2 linked regions of the Mus musculus genome follow. The protein of the gene in region 2 interacts with the protein of the main gene of each other region in a pairwise test. Links are inferred from orthologs where the notes say so. Each region holds a gene or a part of one and is shown on either strand. Other genes may lie near its edges.

Region 1 (5,927 bases), on a different chromosome or scaffold from region 2:
GGCGTCTGTCAGAGCATGTGCCACGACAAGTACACCAAAATTTTTAATGACTTTAAAGACAGGATGAAGTCGGACCACAAGCGGGAAACAGAGAGAGTGGTCCGTGAAGCGCTGGAAAAGGTGGGGCTGTGCATTGCTGGGGGGCGGTGGAGAGTGCAAAGCTTCTCACAGGAGCGGCTGAGCCAGTATTCCTCATAGTTTACATTAGTAATACTTTCTTGCTAACAGCCTTTATGTGGACCAAAATAGTGGGCACAGAGCCTAATCCCAGCAGTGAGGCCTTGTCTATGTGTGGATCTGATCTGTCGCTGTCTTCATTTCAGTTGCGTTCTGAAATGGAAGAAGAAAAAAGACAGGCCGTGAACAAAGCTGTGGCCAGCCTGCAGGGCGACATGGACAGAAAGGGTAAGCAGCTGAAGGAGAAGTGCAAGGAAGAGTTTGTAGAGGAGATCAAGAAGCTAGCGGCGCAGCACAAGCAGCTCATTTCCCAGACCAAGAAGAAGCAGTGGGTGAGTACACCGTCCCCGCTGCTCCTGGGAACACGACCATACCTGCAGTGGTGAGGGCAGCTCGCTCACACGCACGCGCACACGCACAATCACACACGCATGGCCCCCAGAAGTAACCATAACCACAGAGCACTCAGAGCATGCCCTGGAGCCCCTCATAGGCAGGGCACTGCGAGTGCAGTCACCAGCATCTTCCCCAGCAGTGCAGATACTGCTGTGTGAGGGCTCAAGCTCCACTTGGCCGAGTAGTGACGACTGTAGTGACATCTGTAGTGTCCAAGCTGAAACCTGGTGGCTGCCTCCCAACAGGACATTCCAGTTATGGTAGCTTACAGAAATTGCTTCCTCTTGCTTATAGTAAGTGTATGTCATTGGTTGGCAAGTCCCCTCCCTTCAGGACGACTTGGAAGTGTCACCAAGTCCTGTTTCTAAGCCTTTCTTCCCCTTGGGACAGAGCCCTGGGCTACTTTCTCAGCCCCACAGTCCTGTAGGAGCTACCTTGTGGACAATTGTCCCTTGAGCTCCTAACCTGGCTTCAATTTAGATGGTATTCCATATAGCATTTCATGATAATTCTTCCTTTTACCCAACTTCTATTATTAAGATTATGTAAACATATATAAGGTTTTCATGAAGTATATGATAAGAAAAAGTATTATAAAGACTTAGCAAGAGCAACAAGGGCAGGTGGGCACACCCACAGAAGCCTGTGAGGACGCGTGCTGGGAGGGGCTGCTGCCTGAGGAGACAGGTGTCACAGATGGGCCTAGGTGTCAGAAGGCTCAGACACCATGTTGATGACACTAGATATGTTGAGCACATGACTCTAAGGTCACTAGGAGACAGGAGTGCAGTGAGACAGGCGTTTGAAGACTTCTGACACTGAATGTTGACTGAGGTTGCATGAGAGGTGGGGTTGTCCTAAATCAGGATCCAAACCCCAGCTTTCTGCTCTGAATGTTGTCTCCCACCACGGTAAGGACTCACAGGGGGACAGGAAGGAACACACACAGATGTTGAGTGTCAGATGAGAACTGAGGAGTGAAAAGCATGCTGGGAAAGCTGGGTCCCCAGAGCATCTGCAAGAAAAGGGATGAAGGCAGGGCTGTCAGGGAGACCAGGAGATGAACTAAGCTTAGTCTGTAGCCTCAGCCCAAGATTACAATTCCAACCCGAGTGGCTAACCTGTGCTCACTCTACTCCCAGCCAGCGAGTGGTAGGGCAGAAGCTGCCATTGTTGATGTGACAAAAATCACAAAACTCAAAATATTAATTTTGACAAAAACAAACATTGCAACCAAGAGGAAAAGTGGAAGGTTGCACTTTACCAGCCAGTGAAAGAGAATGTTCTGGGTTCTGCTTTGGGACTCTAGGTCACCATCATCATTTTGCAAGTCTGTCAGCCCGCTGTAGAGGACTGCTGTAGTCTCGTGGGTTAGGAGCACAGCCTGGTTGCTCTGGCTTTGCTGCTCATCCTCCCTGCAGACCTCTACAGTGGTGCAGCCACCAGCTCTGCCTGCTTAAAACTCAAGCATGAACTTTCCCCTCATTTCTTCTCCCATGTCTAACAGTCTGGCCTCAATACTAGCCACCTTTGACCCCGCTGACCCTGGTAGAATAGTGAGGAAAAGGTCTCTCTAGGTCTGGGTGTGGCTGTACAGTATTGTGATTCCCTAACACATAGGAGCCCAGCACTTCATCCAGAGCACCCACACAGCAAATGAATGTCCATGTGAGGTAGGGATGGAGATGAGAGTGCTAGGTGTCAATCATGTACATGCAGTAGAGGGATGGGATGTTGGAGGATAGAACTGTTAGGGACTCAGGAATGTGAGGGAAGCACGGCAGGAGGGCAGGGACAGCTGACACTGGAGCTGACGGAATGAATGAGCCTGTGAGACCCGGGCTGATGCAGTGCTGGGAAGACACCTGAGGTCTGATGGCGTGAGATACTCCAGTGTGAATGCCCCTGTGGGCTGGTCTGAGCCAGAGAGCTTTGCAAGCCTTAGAAGCATAGCGGGTCCTGGGCTGTTGATGCTGGCCTCCCTCACATGTGCCCCCTGCCCCCTGCCCTGCAGTGCTACAACTGTGAGGAGGAGGCCATGTACCACTGCTGCTGGAACACGTCCTACTGCTCCATCAAGTGCCAGCAGGAGCACTGGCACGCAGAGCACAAGCGCACCTGCCGCCGGAAGAGATGAGCCTGCCGCCACCCTCACACGCAGCGGTTTTTGTTCCCAAGAAGCCAAAATTGTTTAGAATTTGCTTCCCATTTTGCACCAGCCTTTAAACACTTTTCGTGGTGAAATTTTGCACAGTAGTTTAAATCTTTTGTTAATGCTCCTCCGGCATTTTTCGGGGGCTGAAGTAACATCAATGGAGGGTACTACTCTAAATAAATCTAATTGCGGATTTGTTGCATTTTCAGCAAATTTTAAAACATTTTTAGGTTTTACAGAAATTTTAACCTTTAAACAACAAATCTTAAAAAAACAACGACAGGTGAATAAGAGAGAGTCTAACAGAGACAGAACGGAGCTGAATGTAAGAGCGGATGCTTCAGAACAGACTACCTGGCCGTGACCTTGCTGAGCTGGTTTTGGGCAGCTTGCTTACTGCCTACAGGCCTTGCCTGGGGCTGTGCTGGCGGCATGTGATTGAATATAGGGAACAGGGTTCACACAGCAGGGCTAGCCCTGCGGATTTTTTCTTAAATATTTCCCAATTGTGTTTTCATTATTTCTTTTCAATATATAACTTTTATAACAAATTATTAGCTTTGATCTTGTAGTTTAAAATTGCAGGGAAACTGGGGTAATCTTTTACTGAGCTGGATCTTAGAGAAAAATGAATATTTAAATTTTAAAGTTTGCACATTTCATCTTTGTCCTGACATGAGTGCTTGTAACAAAATCAGCAGCAAAAACAAAAATCAAAAGCCAAAAACTACCTGTACTCAGAACACGGAATTACAGCTGAGGCATACGAGTTTATAACTGAGTCCCCTCCCACCTTCCCTCCCCAGTGCCACCCTAACCCACCCTGTGTCTCCTACTCAGAGGGAGAGAGCACTTGCGTGTCACACACTGCTACTAACAAATCCCTGACTGTACACAGTGAGAATGCATGCTCCGTTCCTTGTATTAAAGATGCCGTGATTTGTACAAAGTCCGTATTCTGCGGGGTGTCTGCTTAAGCAGCGTTACTGGTAGGAATGGATCGATAGTTGAATAACATTTTTTATACATAGATATATAAAAGACAACCAGGAAAATTAAATTTCTTTAAAACTATCTCACCAATTGTTTTTTTTTCTCCTCCAAGACTCATCACAGACCGAACCAAATTCCTACTTTATCCTTTAGTTATTTTTTGAGGTTAGAGAAATAATTTGTAAATATTTATTTAGACCTTTGATATTTATTAAAGCAATTACTCAAAACAGAAGTGAAAGAGTCGGGAGAAAAGCCTTTAAGACAGTTTTCCCCGGTTCATCAGGGTCACTCTAAAGATGAAAGGAAGGAGCCGTCTGTGAGGCCTCCTCCACGCAGTGCCGGTGCTACTGCAGACGGCGTAACTACTGCCACACACGCGCACGGGGCGAGCTCTTTTGTAAAACCAACCGTAGCCCAGGAGCTCCCTCGGGTTATACAGGAACTGCAATAGCTTACAGGCACCACCGCCCCCTCCTCGCTGCCGTGTACCATCACTGCTGCTGCGCTGCCCGAACAAGGACACTTGACGGTCTTTGATTGTTTTCAGACGTTGATCCACCCCTGTGAGAGCAAGTTATTGTGGGAATATTTTTGGTGTAAAATCATTCCAGAGTATGTACTATTTACCTGATAGCTGCATGAACGTGAGGTCCCTGTTACTTTGGCTTCTTGTCTCTGTCGACACGGCTGCACATTTCCAAGTAACTACAGTGTGAAAACTGTGTGTTTTAAAAAAAAACAACAAAAAAAAAATTAAAAAAAGAGATTGTGGCCTGGTTTTGTAAAAGTTTTAGGTAAAATTACAATTGATTGTTTTAGGACTCATTAAATTTTTCTGCAATCCTAAAGCTCTATCAAGGTGTTGAGTGTCCCGCTCTGCACACTGTAAGTACCATTGTGGCTGTCCAGTTCTATGATGCCCTCTGGCATTTTGTAAGCTGCTCTGACTAGCAATATATAGATTTCATTTACTGTGTTAACATTGGTTAATAAATGTATTTAAAAAACCCAACAACTCTTGTCAGTAAGCTGCTTCAGCTCAGTGTCTGCTGCCAGACACAACACAGCTACAGAAAAGCTTGGTCGAGAGCGGGAGTTGCTCATGATGATAGTGAAGCCATGTCGGGAGCTGGGTAAGAGCACTGACTGCTCTGGCAGATGGCCCCTCACAAGCATCTGTCACTCCAGTCCCAGGGAAGCCAGTGTCTTCTTCAGACCTCTGTGGACTCCAGGCACACACATGGTGCACACCGCTATGCAGGCAACACAATTCACACACATAAAAATACAAAAAAAAAAAAAAAAAAAAAGGAAAATGCAAGTTTATCAGGTGCAGTTCTTCACTTCAACATTTATACTGGATTCCATGGGTCACTTCTCAGAAAGAAGAGGGCGAGATCATGTACTTAGGGCTGCTCTTGATGGACTCTGAGCAGCCAGGGCCAGCTTGCTCTCATTGGGTGGCAGATGCTGCTGTTTTACCAGTCTCCGGCCTTCACGCCAACGTCAGCCCGTCTTCATGTAGCTCTGCGTGCTTTCAGCACTGCCGTCTAGTAGTGAGATCACAGTTGGGATGAGATGGTTTCCTCTCCAACTTCCAACTGTCATCACAAAAGATTCTGTTCATGTTGTCTTTGTCACTAAGCAACAAGCTCACCTGTGCTAAACTAAAACACAAGCAAACACCTCATACCCTGGACACCCACCCCAAGTCTGGACTTAACAGTTGTGTTCAGAAAGGTTTTCAACTGAGAAAGCCTTAACTAACAAGTATGAGTCCATAACAGTGCGGACAAAGTGACAGTCTCGAAGCCCAGGCCAGAGCTGAGTCAGTGAGGGCCGTGTGCCTGGAAACAGAGAAACAGCTCACATCTCACAATACTTTCAAACCTGCACAGGACCCTGCACAGAAGTGGACTCCACAGGGAAATGGCTGCATTCTAATACATTAGAAGGAAGTCTTTTAGTCCAGCCACCGATACCCTGGTCTGGCAATCAAGACCAGGAAAGTATAGACAGGTCAATTGAAAGTGATTTAATAATGAACCTGGATGTGCTTGACTGGTGAGTCACAGAACTCAGTCTCAAATTCATATTGGCTTAACTGCAAACTCCATTTTTTAAATGTATCTGCTGTGCTAGACTCTAAAGTTTAAAGACCATCTGAAAGTTGTCAACAAGTTCAACATCCTGAATGATACCC
Region 2 (6,415 bases):
TGGTAACAGTCTTGCTTTGTGCAAGGATGCCAGATAATTGGCAGCACTTCAGCCAGGGATACTGTTCCCAGCACTGTGCTATTGAAATTGTTTTCCTGGACAGAAATGCCCTGTGGGAGTGACCTTAAATTGGGAGGCTTTGGGGAGTGAAACAGGCTGGCTGCTTTAGAGAGAGAGGGATAAGACTATAAACTAGTGCTAAAAAGGAGGAATAAGAAAAGGGAAACAGAGAGAGAGAGAGAGAGAGAGAGCTAGAAAGCGAAGTCCATATGCCTCAGCCACTTCAGATTCTCCTCAATTTTCACTTTGATGTATTCTATGAGCATGTGTTTTTGCCTAGCATCTAGTCTGTAAGATCCTGGAAGACAGAACAGAGCCTTCCGGATCCATGGCTTCCACATCTATGATTCAACCAACTGTGGATCAAAATGTTCAGGAAAAAAAAAATCATGCATCTCTGCTGAACGAGTCAACTTTTTTTCTTGTCTCGGTATGTTAAACAGTTACAGTACAGCAGCTCTTTGCCTGGTGTCTACATCATCCTAATAGAGATGAGGTAAATTCCATCGGGGCATGTGCACAGATTATATGCAAATTCCATACCAGTTTATTTAAGGGACTTGAACAACACTCTATTTGGGTATCATGGAGGGTTCCAGAACAATCCCTTTTAGATACCAACGGACAACAGGATGGCCTTACTCAGTTTTACATCTCCTTTAGTGTCCGGCACATGTGGTCCTCAAAAAGCAAATGGTTGAATGCATGAACAAAAGGTTGAATATCTGAATTTAAAATATTTTCTTTGTTCAGAGTTAAATCCTAAACTGGGATTCTCAGTGGACCTGGAACTGTCTTTGGGGTGAGCATAAACTGGTGTGTGTGTGTGTAACTTTTTGTCTTGTATTTTTCTTATGAGGGATACATAAATACATTGTGTATTTAAACACATTGTGTATTAAATACATTGTGGAGAATGCATTGTTTTATTTTACTGATGTTAGTACTGTATTATAAATACTTTCCATTAAACCACTTTCTATTAAAAACTACACTGATTTCTTAAATTCTTTGTATAAGTAGTTTGCATTCTGAATTTAGTTTCAAGGGGCTTGAGCGCTATTAATTTTTGTTTTAAGAATGGGCCGAGAGTGGGACAGGGTTGGGTTCCTCTGCTGGTGAGACCATTAAGCCTCAGCATACACAAGTTTTAGAATTTTAGGATGCAACTAAATATTGTGCACGTTGATATCAGCAGCCAGGTCTTCCCTTCATGTAAATGCAGAGTGCAAATTTTCGGGCTGGTGTGGCTTGGTGGAGCTCTGCTATCAAAACACAAAAGGGTCCATGACTGGAATGGGGGTGGGGACTAAACATCCAGGCGCCAAAGAGTTCTCTTACGTCCGTCCGGAGCGGCGAGTACAGGAGCGAACACTCGGAGTGGTTTCCTTTCGCCCTCGTTTGTTATATTCAATGGAACAATGACGAGAGGGCTGAAGGGCAGAGGTGGGGAAGACGCTGAGGTCCTCGGCTGGCCGCGCTGCGGGGCTGGTGCCCACTGCGGAGAGCTCGGCTTCAGTCAGTGGCTCTCCGGGGAAAGAGGGACGGCAGCAGGAAGCAGAGGCGGGAGGCTCCAAGTGGGGCCACACTTAACTTTTCCCGTCCAAAGCTGGAACTACGGGGCTCCTGCTGGACTCGGGCTAGGAAGAGGCGGAGCAGCGGCTGACAGGAGCGCGGGACTGTTGACAGCGGGTGGGGGCGCGGCTGGCATCCAGAGGGCGCTGCCAAGGAGGAGCCGAGAGTGACAGTGGGCGTGGCTTAGGGAGGGGCGGGGCCTTAGGACGCCGGCTCCGGGAGAGATGGGGTTGGTTTCGGAGGACCTAGGCAGTTTCAAGGGAAGAAAGCGACCGAGGTCGCGGGAGGCGGGGTCCGACTTCTGACGACCGCTGGCCGAGCAATCGCTTGAACGGGGCGGAGCCTCGCAGGCCCTGGAGGAGGAGCTTCTCGCGACGGGGCGTGGCTTCTAGTGACAGAGGCGTGGCCCCCTCCTGACAGGGGGCGTGACTCTCCCTGACAGAGGGCGGGGCGGCGCACACCTCCCGCAGCGCCCGGTTCTAGAGGAGCGGCCTGGGTCGCATCCCAGAGGAGCGGCGGAGTCCTCGAGTGGGGTGCCCGGCTCGTCCCCGCCTCGGCTGGCTCCTCCTCGCGGCCCTTGTGGGTTCAGGGAGCGGAGTCTCTCTCGCACCCTGGCCTGGCCTCTCGGCGCTTCTGCCGGGCTGCAGAGCTCCGTGGGGGGCCCCCTCGCGCGAGGGCCCTCCGAGTGGTTCCGGGGTTAGGGTTCACGGGTCAGAGTTGACTCCCTGAAAAGTGCAGTCGCTCTGAAATGCAAGATGGCGGCGGCGAGGCGCTGAGGCGAGGCGGCCCCTGCAGGTAGCTGCGCGAGCGGGCTGGGGACTGGGCCTCGCGGTTGCGGGTGGAACCCGAGCAGGAACTCGCGGCGGGTAGGGAAGCCGAGAGGCGCGGGCGCTGGCGCGACACGGGACGGGGCAGCAGCGGGACACAGACACCCCCCCCCTCTTCGGGACCCAGCCCACGGTGCTGGGGCACGCAAGATCGGACCCGGGGGGAACTGGGCCTGCCCCGCGGCGGGGCGGACGGAGTCGCAGCTCCCGGATTCTCTCGGGGGTTGTCAGAGCGAGGACGGAGCTCTGGGTGGAGGGTTTGGAGGGAAAGCCCCAGCGCCTTGGTTGGGAGAGCACTGAGTAACTTGGGGGCGCAGAGGGGATGGGGAGCCGGTCTCCCTGGGGGGAAGGACGTCTCTGGGACAGCGGACCCTAACTACCGTGCGGGTCCTGGGGAAGATCTCCAGCGTTGGGCCTCCGGAGGCGTGAGGCCACCTCGTGGGGACACGGCGCAGCCCCCCTCTGAAGAGTCAGCCAAGGATCTCCGGCTGGACTGTAGCGCACTGGCTTTGGGGTCGGAGCAACGGGAAACCTCAGCAGAGAAGACTCAGGAGTTGCATCCCCAAGAAGTATAGTGCGAAGTATATTTTGAGGAAGAGCAGGCTTTTAGGGGAGAAGTTCATTAAAGAGGGTGGAAACACACTTGTCTCTGCTTAGGTAGTGGAGCGGGAGTGCAGACTTGGGAGAGCGATGGACCAGAGGAAACTCCAAGCCTTGGGGCTTAAAGGGAATTGGCTAGGAGGGAATAAAAAGGACTGGGGTCTGATGGCAGGAAAGCCGAGCCCTGACTCATTTCTTGTGTATTTACACCGAAGTTCCAAGAGAGGGACTTAGAATTCTTTGTTTCGGTACTCCAAAGGTACCAGTAAGAAACGAACCAAACGGAAGAATAAGATTCTGTTTGCTATCCTTAGCTTACTCTGGGCAAAGCAATTGGAAAACTGAATGTAGAGAAGAAGCATAGATAAAGTAGGAATGCTCACAGTACTTTTCTGTCACTAACCCTTCTCTAAAAGACAAGACCAAAACAAACCAAGAAGAGATAAAATTTAGGAGGAAATTATGAGAAAGGCCGATTGAGAAGTTGTGACATTTTTAGGGTGGGATTCCATGCAATTCGAAGAAGCAATTCTCTCGGAGATTAATATTATGGCAAATGAAAATCCGGAAGGACCACTCCTTCCCCAGGAAAAGACTGTGTATTGTGGGGTACACAAGTACACCTTTCTATTTGTGGTGCTGGTCATTGTATTTCAGAAGTCTTTGTCCTAACACTTTAATTTGTATGCAGTAGTAATTACCTGTTTCTTTTTAAAATGCCTTGAAAAAGTCATTATTTCAAACTGGCAGTGGGGATTAATAGAAGTTTGTTCAAACAAGGCTACTGGCACATAGATTATTTCTAAAGAAGCAATTCTGATTCCAGATTTTAAGCGAAGGAAAGAAAGGCTGAGTGCTGCCAGGGACAGTAGTTGGGTAACAGGGCATATAAGGAAAAGGACATTCATGAATATTTTTTATCTTAGTTTCTCTCTCCATCCTCCAAGCATTTTAAAAGTATACAGACTAATTTTAGGCAAAGTAAAATGCATAATCTTAGATTTTGTTTTGAATTGAAGTTTCAAAACATAGCCTAGTCTGGCCTTGATGCCATGGCAGTCCTCCTGCCTCTTCCTTGTCAGTGCTGGGATTACAAGTGTGTACCACCATCTCAATCTTAGATACTAATTTTTTACATTTTTGTTTATTTGTGTTTGAGTGCAGTTATGTGCACATCCCACTGCCTGCATGTGGAGGTCAGACGACAACTTTCAGGAGTTCTGGGTAGCAGACTCAGGTTGTCAGGCTTGGTGGTAAATGTTTTTACTGACCAAACACCTCACTGACCCTTAGGCATTTTTGTTAATATAGAATTTATAGTATTTTATTTATCAATGATTTTTTTTATAGAACTACCTCTTGATATGTTTTATTTGACTGCTTAGATTAAAATGAGAAAAAAGCCGGGCATGATGGCACATGCCTTTAATCCTAGCACTTGGGAGGCAGAGGCAGGCGGATTTCTGAGTTCGAGGCCAACCTGGTCTAAAAAAGTGAATTCCAGGACAGCCAGGGCTACACAGAGAAACCCTGTCTCGAAACAAACAAACAAACAAAATGAGAAAAAATAAACTCCAAGAGTCCTAGTGACTTCCGTAACTTATGACAGTCCTGAGCCATTTGTACATTCTCAAAAGAGCTTAATGTTTTTGGTAGAGATGCTTTAAACATACAGGTCAGGTATAACCAGCTTATAGCTCAGCATTTGGAACACCAACTTTAACTATGTGCTGTTCTTTGCTTTTCCCACAGTGCATATAGCTCTAGTGTTATACTCACTTCTGAACAGATTAGTCTGGCAAACCAGAGAGGCATACATAGATACCAGATGGTTTGAAAATATGCTAAGGCTGAAAACATAAATGTGTCTGTGTAGAAGATGCTCATCGGTAGCTTCGTCTCCAAGCATCTGAACTTGCTTGGCTTGAGGGTAGGACACGAAAGATGTCACAGTGGTTTTACCTTTCAGGATTCTTGGTTTTGCTGAAAAGGAGCAGAGGTTTGCTGTCTTACTAATGTAGTTGATAGCATACACATGGAGGCTTGTTTCAAAGAGTTCCTGTTTTGTTTAATTCACACTCATATGGAAAAGTGATGTGATGAGGTATTTTCTCTTTTACTGTCATGCACTCTTTTTTTAAAAGTTTATTTATTTATAAGTGCTCTACTACATGTGCACCTGCATGACAGAAGAGGGCATCAGATTCCTTTATAGATGGCCATGAGCCACCATGTGGGGGCTGGGAATTGAACTCAGGACCTGTGGAAGAATAGCCAGTGCTCTTAACTGCTGAGCCATCTCTCCAGACCCTACTTTCATGCACTCTTTTTAAAAAGTTATAATATTGCTTGTGTTTGGGCATTTTGTCTACATGTATATCTGTGCACCGTGATATGCAGTGCCCTCAGAGGGCAGAGGAGGTGGCTGGATCCCGTGGAACTGGAGGTATAGGCAGATGTGAGCCTTCATGTTGGTGCTGGGAATTGAACCCAGGTCCTCTCTCCTCTGGAAGGACAGCCAATACTTTTAAGGACTGAGCCTCTCTCCAGATCTTGGTCATGTTCTTAAAAGATATTCAGCCTGGCAGTGGTGGCACATGTATTTAGTCTCAGCTTTTGGGAGACAGTGGCAGGTGAATCTCTGAGTTCAAGGCCAGCCTGGTTCAACAGAATGAGTCTAGGGCTAATCTTGTCATTTTATATCATCTGTGTTCTTCAATGTATGTGCCATGAAGAGACACACATATACACACAGATGTTTAACTGATATGTACCTTTGGCCTAAACAAGTACAATGATACATTTTAGAAAACAAATATATATTGGCAGTTTCAGAATGACTTTTGTTCAAGGAGGTCAGCTGAATAAATGTTTGTTTATGTGTGTTTTTAAGTCCTATCCTTGCTATATAGCTCAGACTGGCCTGGAACTTTCAATCCTCCCGCCTCTGTCTCCTTCTCCTGAGTACTATAATTATAAACACATAGCTAAGTTTGAATAGTTTTGTTTTGTTTTGTTTTGGAGAGGGTCTCATGTAGCCCAGGCTGACTCAAGCTCCTTATGTAGCCAAGGAGGTAATTGAACTGCTCTTCCTAACCCAACCTACTGAAAAAAATCTAGGGTTACCATTGTGCTCTGAGGGCCAGTTTATGTTGTGCTGGGAACTGAGTCCCTAAGGCCTTGCATTCTATGTGAGTCCTCTATTAACAATAGCCCTGAGAAATTATTTTTGTTGGGTTTTCATTTTCAGTTTTTAAATTTAGAATTAAAAAATTCATATCAGAGCTTATTTTGAAACAGCAGTAATAGTAGCTATAAATGTATATATGTAAATGTATATTTATTATGTAAAA

What was found. The genes of interacting proteins can lie anywhere in the genome.
Region 1: the proteins of Zhx1 (region 2) and Zmynd11 interact in a two-hybrid assay, tested with the Homo sapiens proteins (2 studies listed by BioGRID and IntAct). The link is inferred for Mus musculus from reciprocal best matches to the Homo sapiens genes ZHX1 and ZMYND11.

What each region holds. Positions count from the first base shown.
Region 1 is NC_000079.6:9,683,645-9,689,571, reverse strand, and holds the end of Zmynd11 (zinc finger MYND domain-containing protein 11), read left to right. Parts: coding exon 1-120; exon of another isoform or gene 121-323; coding exon 324-509; intron 510-2,587; coding exon 2,588-2,710; 3' UTR 2,711-4,736; downstream 4,737-5,927. UniProt on the Homo sapiens protein: Chromatin reader that specifically recognizes and binds histone H3.3 trimethylated at 'Lys-36' (H3.3K36me3) and regulates RNA polymerase II elongation. Does not bind other histone H3 subtypes (H3.1 or H3.2).
Region 2 is NC_000081.6:58,072,172-58,078,586, reverse strand, and holds the start of Zhx1 (zinc fingers and homeoboxes protein 1), read left to right. Parts: upstream 1-2,078; 5' UTR 2,079-2,430; intron 2,431-6,415. UniProt on the Homo sapiens protein: Acts as a transcriptional repressor. Increases DNMT3B-mediated repressive transcriptional activity when DNMT3B is tethered to DNA. May link molecule between DNMT3B and other co-repressor proteins.